3 linked regions of the Xenopus tropicalis genome follow. The protein of the gene in region 3 interacts with the protein of the main gene of each other region in a biochemical or structural test. Links are inferred from orthologs where the notes say so. Each region holds a gene or a part of one and is shown on either strand. Other genes may lie near its edges.

What was found.
Region 1: the proteins of nfya (region 3) and zhx1 form a complex in vitro, tested with the Homo sapiens proteins (2 studies listed by BioGRID). The link is inferred for Xenopus tropicalis from reciprocal best matches to the Homo sapiens genes NFYA and ZHX1.
Region 2: the proteins of nfya (region 3) and sp1 form a complex in vitro, tested with the Homo sapiens proteins (2 studies listed by BioGRID). The link is inferred for Xenopus tropicalis from reciprocal best matches to the Homo sapiens genes NFYA and SP1.

The regions. Positions count from the first base shown.
Region 1 is NC_030682.2:139,787,224-139,791,080, reverse strand, and holds part of zhx1 (zinc fingers and homeoboxes protein 1), read left to right. Parts: coding exon 1-1,751; 3' UTR 1,752-1,754; intron 1,755-3,702; 3' UTR 3,703-3,857. UniProt on the Homo sapiens protein: Acts as a transcriptional repressor. Increases DNMT3B-mediated repressive transcriptional activity when DNMT3B is tethered to DNA. May link molecule between DNMT3B and other co-repressor proteins.
Region 2 is NC_030678.2:146,984,016-146,988,601, forward strand, and holds the start of sp1 (transcription factor Sp1), read right to left. Parts: upstream 3,072-4,586; 5' UTR 3,023-3,071; coding exon 3,016-3,022; intron 2,709-3,015; exon of another isoform or gene 2,361-2,708; coding exon of another isoform or gene 2,261-2,360; intron 1,934-2,260; coding exon of another isoform or gene 1,931-1,933; coding exon 1,851-1,930; intron 1-1,850. UniProt on the Homo sapiens protein: Transcription factor that can activate or repress transcription in response to physiological and pathological stimuli.
Region 3 is NC_030678.2:71,398,110-71,401,966, forward strand, and holds part of nfya (nuclear transcription factor Y subunit alpha), read right to left. Parts: intron 3,258-3,857; 5' UTR 3,218-3,257; coding exon 3,146-3,217; intron 2,942-3,145; coding exon of another isoform or gene 2,858-2,941; intron 2,475-2,857; coding exon 2,331-2,474; intron 2,155-2,330; coding exon 2,023-2,154; intron 1-2,022. UniProt on the Homo sapiens protein: Component of the sequence-specific heterotrimeric transcription factor (NF-Y) which specifically recognizes a 5'-CCAAT-3' box motif found in the promoters of its target genes.

The sequences.
Region 1 (3,857 bases), on a different chromosome or scaffold from region 3:
ATAATACCCTTTTACACGGTGCTTACAACAATTTTCCCTACCCCACAGTCTCGGAAATTAAACTCCTTACTTCTCAAACCAAATTCACAGAGGAGCAAGTAAAAATCTGGTTCTCTGCGCAGCGCCTCAAGCACGGGGTCAGTTGGACGCCCGAAGAAGTGGAAGAAGCGCGGCGAAAGCAGTGCAACGGTACAGTTCATACCGTTCCTCAGACAATTACAGTGATTCCTGCTCATCTGTCCACTGGTGCCAATGGTTTGCCTTCTATTTTTCAAACGTGCCAAATAGTAGGTCAGCCAAGTCTTGTTCTCACCCAGGTTGCAGGTACAAATGCATTACCTGTGACTACACCCATAGCATTGGCTGTAGCTGGAGTTCCAAACAGTGCCCAGCTGCAGAAGGCCCCACTGGCCACCACCCAACCAATACCAGAAACAAAACGAGTGTTGACTATCCCCGCACCACAGATTCCCAAGCAGGAACAGACTGTGATAGGTATTGATTTCAGTATGCGTTCAAAGAAAACAAAGGAACAGTTGACTGCACTGAAAATTAGCTACTTAAAAAGCCAGTTTCCACATAATTCCGAAATTGAACGCTTAATAAAACTGACAGGTCTCACAAAAGGGGAGATCAAAAAATGGTTTAGTGATACGCGATACAACCAAAGGAATTCAAAGGGTAGTCATGGTATTCATTTCACTAGTGACGGTGGGGGCATAATCTTCGATTCTGGCGATGAAACAATAGACTCTCCTACTCTCGTGCCACCACCGCAACGCAGCAGGCAAACTTGGAACCCTTTCCCAGATTTCACACCTCAGAAGTTTAAGGAAAAGACTGCAGAACAGCTTGATGCTTTGGAGGAAAGTTTTCTAAAAAACTCTGTACCCACAGATGAGGAACTAAACAAATTAAGGGTTCAGACTAAACTAACAAGAAGAGAAGTCGATGCCTGGTTCTCGGAGAAAAGGAGATCTACAGGCATAAAGGAGGAAGCAAGTGACCTTAATGAGAGTAATGCAGGCCTGTCTATAAAAGAAGAGGTGGACGCAAATTTTGGGGAAAGTGATGCTTTGGGAAATAAGTCGGGGGCAATGTTTCCGGCAAAGCTTGGAAAAAAGTCCCCGGAACAGTTGCACATGCTTAAAAATGCATTTGTGCATTCACAGTGGCCATCCTCGGCAGAATACGATAAGCTGGCGGATCAAACAGGACTTGCCAGGAGTGATATTGTGGCCTGGTTTGGAGACACGAGGTATGCGTGTAAGCATAACAATCTGAAATGGTTCTACCAATATCAAGGGCAGAACCAGAACATTATGAATGGCCAAACCTCAACTCGAAAACGGGGAAGAGGCAGGCCGAGAGGTAGAGGAAGAGGGAGGCCTCGAGGGCGTCCAAAGGGTCCAAGAAGGACAAATAATTGGGAGAGGGTGACGGTGCCAAAACACAAAACTGGGAAAGCACTGCTAAAGGACTACTATGGGACACACAAATTCCTTAACGAGGAAGACCTCGACGAATTGGTTTCCAAATCTCGCATGGGCTATGAGCAGGTGAGGGAATGGTTTGCAGAAAGGCATCAAAGAGAGGATGCTGGTCTGGATCCTTTTGATGAAGAGGAAGAAGACGAGGATGACTTTTTGGATGACCAAGATGATGAGGAAGAGAATGGAGACACGGATGATAGCGACACCTGGGAGCCCCCAAGACACGTTAGGCGCAGACTTTCTAAAAGGGATGATTGATTTGTAAGTAGGATCTGTACATATGTAATACTGCTAAATCTCAAGCATTTTGTTAAAAGGGGAACTAAACCTTTGGGGGCCAGGAGCTTTATATATGAACTAGCTATTGTGGCTGTATTTCCCAAAATCCAAATCCTCTGAATGTCTCTTTACAAAATGACTGACTTCCCAGTGAAACATCAGCAAATTACAAGGTTAAATCTTTCTTAGGAGTTGATGCTTCAGGGCTGATTATTCATTTTGATGCAGAATGCACTGGTTTCCATGCTGTCATGTAATGTGAATTTTATATTGTATGGGTGTATTTGCGTATATCTATGTATATCTATCTATTTATCGCTATATAGAAAGATATAGATATATAATATAAAAGAGAGTGTAAGGGCTCTTGCACACGGGGAGATTACAAATCTCCCTGTTCGGGGGCGACTAATCTCCCCGAATTGCCATCCCACCGGCGAAAATGTAAATCGCCGGTGGGATGGCATACGCGGCGGCGCGATTTCACTGAAATCGCGGAAGTTTCCTCTCTGCCAGAATAGAAAAAAAGGATGCTATTGGTGGCTGAAATCTTACCTGCCAAAGGGCTGGGGTTACATTTACCTTAGCAACCAGGCAGTGGTTTGAAGAAGAAGAAGAGGGCCTGACTAGAGTTCTGGAAAGAATCAGTAAAACTCTAGCCGCACACAGTTGGGGTTCGCAAGCCCCAACAACCCAAGTATATTTTTTTGTTGAAATATCTGTGTTGTTGCATTTTGTCTTAAACTGCAACAGGACAAAAACCAGCACGTTCCAACATTTCAATGTGGTCAACAGGTCATGTGACTCCTTCGAAATCCTGTCAGGGGAGAAGGGACTAAAACATTGATGTTACTAATGGTAACAGCTTCTCCACCGCTTACAGACAGCATGCAACTACACAACCCACAATGCATTGCACTGTGATGTTCTTTTCCTTATTGACATCACGTGTGCAGCAGGGAATTGTGGGATTGGGAGGATGTAGGCTGAGGACAGGCGACTACTGTTACATTTTATTTGAGTGTCATGAAAAGGCTGCATATTTTTTAACTGATATTATTTTTAAAGTTGCTCGAAATTATGTGTCTTTTTAAAAAGCTAAAGTTGTGTTTGGGTGGAGTTCCCCTTTAATATAGCCTATCACCCTCATAGCTTTCTCTCTCTGCATCAGAGTCGTAATTGCCTGCCATTGGCTCAGTGTATATTAAGTGGAGTACCTTGATTGGGCTGTGCCCCACACAAAAAATCTTTGAGGCGGCCTGGCACATACCCTGTAGCACAGCCCCTCCCTTCCACCCTCGCTCTTGCACATCCAGGGGACACGGGGGCCCAGGCAGCAGGGTCTGATGTGTGCTAGTTTTCCCTTTAATCTTCGCTGCTCATTTGGGGCATGTGGCAAATATTTCAGAGAAGGGGATGGAAAGGGGAAACTTACACAGACCCACCATCTGGGCCCCCCGTGCTGTTACGCCACTCTCAAAATTTCCTTACTATAGACTTTGCGGTATCATCAAACATTGTCATTCTCCCCCTAAAACATTATTTATTGAATATGTTGGGGAACTAGTAATGTCCAGACTTGCGCCAAACCCACCCCTTCTCAACCGAGGCCCAACCCCTACCAGTTCTGAAAAGGGACTCTTACTCTGGATCTTGTGCTTTAGCAAAGGGCATGTCAACCCCCCAAACAAAAATATTAGTTAAAAGCTTCAATGCAATCTTCAAATACCTGGCACTCTGGCAGCTTGCTTAGTCCCTCCCTTCAGAATTCTCCTTGGCGTTGGGAGCCATGTATGCTTTCAGCCAGCTTTTCTTGCATATGTTCAGCAGGGCGGTCGATATGTGTAAATAACTGTGCATTTTAATAAAATAATAAATGTTTGTTTAACCATTTTATTAACAGATATCATTTTTCCCCTACTTCCCACAGACAAACGACAAGAAGTTCCAGTTACTGTGAGTGGGGTACCTTTTCTCTTTTTGAAAACCGTGAAACACCGAGGACGATGACTTTGGGGAAGGCCGGAAGTCAGTGCTGTGCCAAAGTCGCTGTTGTGCAGTCAGAGGACGTTACTGTAAATAGAA
Region 2 (4,586 bases), about 76 Mb from region 3:
TCACATTCTGTCTATGCAACAAAGCCACGCCCCTGACATGGGACAAAGCAGGAAGCTCTCTCTACACTACAGTGTCAGATCTGGGTGGAGCCTAAAAGCTAACTGCAAGAACCAGGGGAAGTGTTAGGAACTATACACTGCCCTTATTTTAGAAAGACTAGTATGACTTTTGACTTTATGACCATAGGTTAGACAGTGCTGCACAGGGAAGATATATGAATGTCACACACACATAAAAAAAAGATAAGGTCATAAATGTACTGAGGAATGACACACAGAAAGATGGTAGAAAGAGTGACCACCTTACAGGAGAAGGCAGGCCAATGCACCATATGCTACGTGTGGCATTAGCCTTAGCTTACCCCAATGTTAGTGAGAGAGGTAATGGTGCAGGTGGGTCATTGCCCAGGCATGTTAGTGTGCATTCCCAGGAAAAACACACAGTATTACTTATTTTACATTAAAATAATAAATATAATGGAAAGTCAATAATGGAAGAAAATTTGTTGTCAAAAAAAAAAAAAACAAACAGCTTTGAATGGGACCTATTACCCTGAATGCATGGACCTAGGTTTAAGGGATTTGAGTAATTTGCATCACTATACAAAACACAAAAGAATTGTTTTGCCCCAGATTTATGCAGCTAAGATACTATCGATTACAAGCTACTGTTTTATTACAGAGAAAAGGGAAATCATTTTTATAAATTAGTATTATTAGCATAATATCACATCGAATTGCTTTCCCCACATCCTGGTGCAGGCTAATAGAGCCCGCACTCTGGTTGGGGGAAACACACACACATATAATATATATATATATGTGTGTGTGTGTGTGCTGCTCCTACGTCACACATTTGCGCACAATGAGTGAGGAGTCTTGCTCATTATGCACATGCACGCTAAATAACATGGCCGCCCGTGGGGGCTGTTTAAAAAAAAAAACCTATTGTTTTCCAGAATGCGGGCTCTAAAGCCTACACCTCTGGTGGCGGGAAGAAACTAAATGGTGATAGGTGCCCTTTAAACTTAGTTCTATGATGGTCTGCAAGCAATTTAGAGCTTTCTGGATAAGGGATTCTATAGCTGTAGCACTCTATTACATATACATGGTTCAGCGTTGGGAAGATATCCAACATCATCAGTTGGGGGCGCCACCTCCTGCGATGGCCTAAGACAGCACAAGCTGCAGAGATAACCATGCCTAGGTGGGTGTTGGTACAAAGACAGTACTACCCACAATGGAATAAACTGGGTGTGTGCTGTAAGTGATATTTTATTGTTGCACAATAGCAAAAATAACACTCAGTGAAATTTAGTGGAGCATTGCCTTTCCAGCCTTTGCTACAAATCTGAGCAGATTTAACCCTAACTGCCATTTACACTCGGCCCCCACCAGCCGAAGCAGCAGATGCAGTTGCTGAATTTAATTAAAAATGTAGCTGCCAATAAGATGCAAGACTGAACGTGAATGTCAATTTAACCCTTCTACGGCTATGTCCTAGGTGCCATTTGCAGTATTAGCAACAGCACAAAGAGTGCCAGCATGTAAACAAACCAGCATGTCAAGGAGACAGCCAGAGAGAGAACAGGAGGGACAGGGCTGGGGGGAAGGGTTTCTGGGGCCTGCCCCAAGTGGGCAGTCAGGAACAGGGGGTGGGAGGTTTGCCAGCCAAAGGGTGGGAGGACAGCAGCCATTCTCAAAGAGAAAGGAGGAAAAAAAAAAAGGCCTCAGCCCCCCTCCCCCATGCTCATCCAGTGTACAGGCAGCCAAGGCGAGAGGGCTGGATAGTTCCCAGGCATGGTCCCTGCCTATCTGTGTATAATGCAATATGGGTGGGTTCCGCTTACCTGCCCCTTCTGGATGTATCCACCTCCTGTCCGGTTTTCGGACTTTATCGTAGGCATGTCATCGGACGTGTGCTCCTGATCTGCTGTCAGCGAAGGGCACAAGCACAGAGAGAGAGTGTGTGAGTGAGGGCAGTGAGTAAACATGCACACACAGGCTTACAACATGGCCGGCCCTACTTCCCTGAGAAACACAAACCCCTCAGCTTAGAAACAGACTGCTGAACTACAACTCTCACAAACCTCTCAATACTGGAAGTGAAGAGACTCACAAACATGTTTCCCATCTATCAGCCTAGATAGCCTTAGCAGCACTGTTGTGGAACTACAACTCCCACAACCCTCTGTAGAGGAGTACGTTCTAGAAGTAAAATGATTTACAAATAAATATAAATGGTCTACATAGGCTTCACCTGCGAGTAATGGCAACTCCAGAGGCAAACTACAACTCCCAGCGGCCCCGTTCAGCAGGTTAATGAAGGGATCTACCGGATGAAGGTCCCTCCCATCCATACGATGTCAGTGAAACTGCCCGAGCTGAGGGCGGATAATGGTTTCAGGGGAACTACAGATACCCCACAGCTACGGATACTGGGAGTGTTTGGGCGCCAGAGGGGCAGATATCCCCAGTGTGAGGCAAGGATTGCTCTGGGCAGGGGGGGCTACAGAAGGAGGGCCGCAGGCTTCACATTATAGGCGAAGGCAACGGGTTCCGGGGAACATTTTAGGGTCACGTATTGCCCTTTCCCTGTGTCACGAAAAGTACCGGCTACCATGCTAGGAGGGGCGGGGGGCAATTTTACAATTCTACCCCACCCACCGAAGGGGGCAGAAAAACAGGGCGGGAGAGGAGGACAGCAGGGAGGGGTTCTACCGCCACAACCACCTCTCCAGTTATAGGGAAAAGTAAAAAGGGGGCGAGGAAGGAGAACGAACGAAGTAGTGAGGGCGGATATGACTTTATTTCTACACCCCCGCCTCCTCCTCCGGTGGTACCGGCCGCTCTCAGCATTCCGCCAGCGAGTCATGGCGCGCAGCAAAAAGCCCACAAAGTGGCCAGGGGGAGCGATCCCTCACACAAGCTGCGTGCGAGCAAGCCAGGAGGGGCTCTGGGATAAGCTTGCGAACCCGCGTTACCTCCCGCCCTTATGCCCACTCTCCTGCTTACCGCTCATGTTGTTTCTGGGGCCGTAGGTACTTCACACAAACCTCGGCTGACGATGGCAACCTAACCTGGCTGCCGCGCGGCGGAGACGGTGAGTAGGCGGGGCTACGGGCGGAGATCGACAGACCGCCTAACCACTCCCGCCGAGGGGCGGCTCCACCCGCCCAATGGGGTGGCGCGGTGGGTGCAGTTAGCTGGAGACTGACAGAGAAGGCTGACCAATTAGAGGTGGAGTGACCCCGCCCAGCCACGGAGGCGGTGTGTGATGGGGGAGGGAGATGAAAGAATGTGGCGGGGGTGGTGGCTCTCTAGTCTGAACCCTTCCCAAGGTTAGAGTGACACTGAAAAGGGCCAATCATAATCGAACGAAGTCCAAGGCGTTTCATTAAGTGACGAATCATACGAGAAAAGCAAGCAATTGAAGAGCTGTGTGAGGAGGGGAAGGGAAATTAAAGTTTGACTGGTCGTTGTAGGGTTTGGGCGCCATTTGCTGGAATTGCAGAATGTCGCTCTTTAATTATTTAGAATAACTGGCCACAGCTATTAAAGTATTCGTTTTTATTCGGCATCAGCCTACGTGCAAATAGGAAGCAAGATGGCAGCAGTCGGAGTTGCGACTGAGTGGCTACGTGACTAAAGGGGCCGCATTATCTGTAATACAGAGAGGGAATGATGGACGGGTCGTGCATAGAAAATAGCAGGTTTAGAATAAATATCAGAGTTACAACAATAAAAAAAAGTGACATAGGTTACATAAAGCCGAGCACAATATATAAGGCTTATTTTCTTTATTGGGCCACTTCTTCCAAATTGATATCAATAATTATTAAGCAGCCAGTCCAGTAAAGCATTGTCAGTCCTATCATTAATAGAAATATATTGCTCAATAAAAAATGAATGCCTTTTCTTGAGAAAACAGTCCTGGCTGTATTTATTAGATTGTAAGGGCTCTGGCACACGGGGAGATTAGTCGCCCGCGACAAAACTCCCTGTTCGCGGGCGACTAATCTCCCCGAGTTGCCTTCCCCTGCAAATCGGCGAAAAAGCCTCGCGAGGCAACTTCGGCGATTTGTGCTAAATCGCGCCGCCGCGTGTGCCATCCCACCGGCGACTTACATTTTCGCCGGTGGGATGGCAGGGGAAGGCAGCTCGGGGAAATTAGTCGCCCGCGAACAGGAAGTTTTGTCGTGGGCGACTAATCTCCCCATGTGCCAGAGCCCTAAAGGTGTAACTGAGTCCATCACCATTAAGCTTCCATTTTATAGTACAGTTTGCTGATGCTTCCATGTAGCTCAATTCCCATATTGCTTGAGGCAAAACGACATAGGGGCACATTTACAAAAGCGTGAACACTCCGAGCGTATTTTCGCCGATTTTTTCGGGCGTCCGCACGACTTTTTCAGACGTTTGCACGAAAAAATCATAAAGGTTTTACCACTGTTTACAATTGTTCGGTACGAAAATTTCGCAACTTTCGGATCGCCAATACGATATTATCGTGACTAATACGATTTTTTCGTAAGCATTTTCGTGATATTTGCGATCTTCCGAAATTTTCGTTTCCAATATGATTT
Region 3 (3,857 bases):
CAGTGGGGGGAGGGTTGGTCACAGTGGGGGGGGGTTGGTCACAGTGGGGGGGGGGTTGGTCACAGTGGGGGGGGGGTTGGTCACAGTGGGGGGGGTTGGTCACAGTGGGGGGAGGGTTGGTCACAGTGGGGGGGGTTGGTCACAGTGGGGGGGGTTGGTCACAGTGGGGGGGGGGTTGGTCACAGTGGGGGGGGTTGGTCACAGTGGGGGGGGTTGGTCACAGTGGGGGGAGGGTTGGTCACAGTGGGGGGGGTGACCCCTGTATTAGTTCCAATTGGCCAGTAAATTCGGGCAGTTAATACATCCCAGAATACAACAAAGGACTCTGGGTAATTGATGCTTTATTTCTATTGGCTGTCACTGTGAGTCAGAGGGAACGCCCACTCCTCTGTGAGCCGTACCCAGGTGCCGTGTCATTGGCTAAGGAGACGTGTCACTCAGATTGCTCCGCCTACTAAATGCCTCTGCCCCTCATGCCCCTATAACGCACTGTTGGACCGAAACCCCCCCAGTCTGTGCCTCCCAGCCGGGCTCTTTAACTTCTCATTATTTGGCCTGGAGCGGGGTCTCTCATTGGCTGAATAGTTTTAAATTTTTACATTTCAAAGGGGCAGTGTACCACCTTCTTTAACATGAGTTAAATGAATAGGGCTTATCGCATACTATTTGCCTAATGATTTACTTACAAAATGCTTTTTAAAGCTGAAACTACTTCATAATTGTTCCTTGGAAGATAATTAGATTACCAGTGCACGTGTAACCTCCCTGCATAATGGACTTTAGGGCAAAACTACATGTACTGTTGGCTGAGGGCAGAGATCGTCCCAAAAACCTTGAGGTAGGCATTTTCATTTGATCTCCATTCTGTGTAGCTGCACTAAGGCCAAAGCTGTACCTGTCAGTGCACCTACACAGTAATGTGGAGAGAGCGGATCTGCTTCTCTTTGCCTGCCTACAAAACACAGGTGGAGAGAAGCGGAGCCAACACTTCTCGTGACTTTGCCCTTAGGAAAAGGGAGAGAGTGTTATATTGTGATCTAATGATATTTTGAATTGATAAATAATGTAGTTATGCACTTTGGAAAATACCATGAACTCTAGTTCAGAAATGTGCTGGGGTCTCCAAAACTGTGAACAATTCTGTAGTTATTGTTGATAACAGACACAAGTCTAGGCAGTGTCAATCTATTAGCATTAATAAAGTACTCCCTATAACTGAGGGTATAGTATAGAGATAAAATCATCATTATGGCACTTTATACATTTTTGGTAAATTACCTTATAGTCGAATAACAGGTGATGGTCTTAATTGATTAGGAACCCCTGTGAATTAAATCACTAAATTCTTTTCCCCTGGTCAGGGCTCCTTTTTGGAAATAAATGCAGTGGTCCAGGGTTATAACTTCAATAGCCAAACTGCCATCTTACCTCAGTTTCCCACAGATCCCCTGCACCACACTACGCGTGTGCACTATAATATCAGGAATCTTTATAACATGCACATATGCAAGTCTAGCGGAATCGCAAGGGATACTTGGTAAATTGGGGTTCGATAGCAGCACGATGCTTAAACAGGCATAAAGCTGGGCCGGTGAATTTTGTTTCACCAGACAAAGCAACGGCCCAGGGTAAATGTTAGCAATTTAATTCAATGGGGGAAGCCTAATGAATTGGCAGCCCTCACACAATTTGACTTTCCTCGTCTTAATAAGCATTGCCGTTTTGGTTCCCTTCGCATCAGGAAGAATAATAAAAGAGTGCAAAATTAAGCTATGAGGAAAGATGGGTTTAATTTCACTGCGGAAGCGATGTTTTAAGCAAACATCAAAACTCTTTATTTATAAGTTAGAGGGCACTATGGGAGTAATAAAATATAGACAGGGGATTACTTCTCAAAATGAAAAGAATGAAGGACAAGAGGGATACCTTTACATTTAAAGAATTGCCCTTGTTTCAGTTATCTCTTCAAATTAACCTCTCAACCTATATATAACACAGGAATACTTTGTTACTTCTACTCACCTGACTTTGTCCTGCAGTTACAGCTGTCTGTGGTTGCTGTATAATAATCTGCTGGGGCTGCCCTTGCTGGGCTTGAACCTGTACAGCCTGTCCTCCTTGAATCTGAATCTGCCCTGGTTGGACCAGCTGTATCTGTAAGAAAGGTTTAAACGGCAAGATATAGCTTGTCCCACTAAGAATAGGAACATAACCACAGTATTATGTACCTAATAAAATCTAGTTGATATTCTAACTGAATACTCGAATGTTTGTAATATAAAGCACAGAATATGTGCATTTCATATTATTCACATATCTAATGCACTTGCCTGCTGCAGTCCTTGGGATCCAGATACCGGCACCTGCATAAGAGTCTGACCTTGGCCACCCATGGCTTGTACCATGATTGGCTGTCCAGTAGAGGTGATCAGTTGCCCCCCACTGACTTGCACCATAAGTGGTTGACCTTGTACCTATGTAAAAAAAAATAACAATTGTTGTAAATCTAATTTAACTATACAAATATTTTATGCTGGAAATTTTCAGTAAAGACAAAAACAGAGAAAGCCACAAATACAAGAACTCTTAGCAAAAGGTGGGTTAGGGGTGATAGGCAATGACAGAAAAGCCAGGCTCATGCAAAGTAGGTAAAAGGAGTAACTCAAGGTATTGGGCTCATGCTGTACTTTGAATAAGTAAGCAAGTATATAAAACAGACAACATATTAAAAGTTCAAACATGATAAGTGCTTGGATACAAAGATTATACAAAATGCACTCTATGTGATAGAAGCATTATTCATACAAATACTGCATGGAGTGCAATAAATGTGACTCATGCAGCTAACAGACACAACTACCTGGAGGGTCTGAACTTGCTGCCCCGAGGCTGCTCCCACCTGAGCCTCGGTCTGTAACTGGACAGCAGTGACCGCACCCGGCTAAGGGGAGAGGAACAAGAAGAAACAGCCAGACCATGAAAAAGCAGCATGTGTCTTTCCAAAGATCACATACTGGAACATTCAGTGATTCCCACTAACTTCCTGCAACAAGGCACTGAACGGCTTTATAGTTTCAAAATAAAAAATACTTTTAAATAATACGAAATCCTAACACAATACACATCATTTCATAGAAATGCTCACCTGCTGCTGGATCTGTCCAGCCTGAACCACTATTTGCTCTGGGGAGCCGTTACTGCTTGTAAATTGCTCCATCTGCTCCTTAGAAAGACTACACAATGCAGTTTAAAGGCACCTATTAAAAGACAAAAGTGTGATAATATAGTTACATGAGGTATAAGCTGGATTTGTAGATGATGACGTATTACTGCTCTTCATTAGCTGACAAGGATTACTAAAAGGGGCAGTATATAGCCATTTGCAACATGAGCTTAATAAATAGGGCATTTGGAAAAAATTATCTTTGGATATTATTTTGCTTAAAAAAAAAAAAAAAAAGATATGTTTTTTGCTCTTTTCAAGCTTTCTAACTAACTGTTACAAAAAAAAAAAAGACTTTCTGATTATGCCAAATGTAGAAGAAGCTCATACAACACATTACCAGTCCACAAATAAGCATTCTATATAACGAGCCGTATCCTATCTCACGTCTGGCAAGGTCTTACAGGCACACGCAGCTGATATCTACCAACAAATGCCAAGTCTCACGTTTGTTTGCAGATAAAAACTACATATGCCTGCACCCAGGTGGCTTCAATGCTTTTGGGTGCAGGCACAACTAGGAGAGGATTGTCAGCGTGCTTAAAAAAATTTCGGAATTTTTTTTTTTTTTTAATCAAATAATAGGCAGAATACATGTTCAACACAAGTCCCTATTTATTGTGGTAATTTAAAG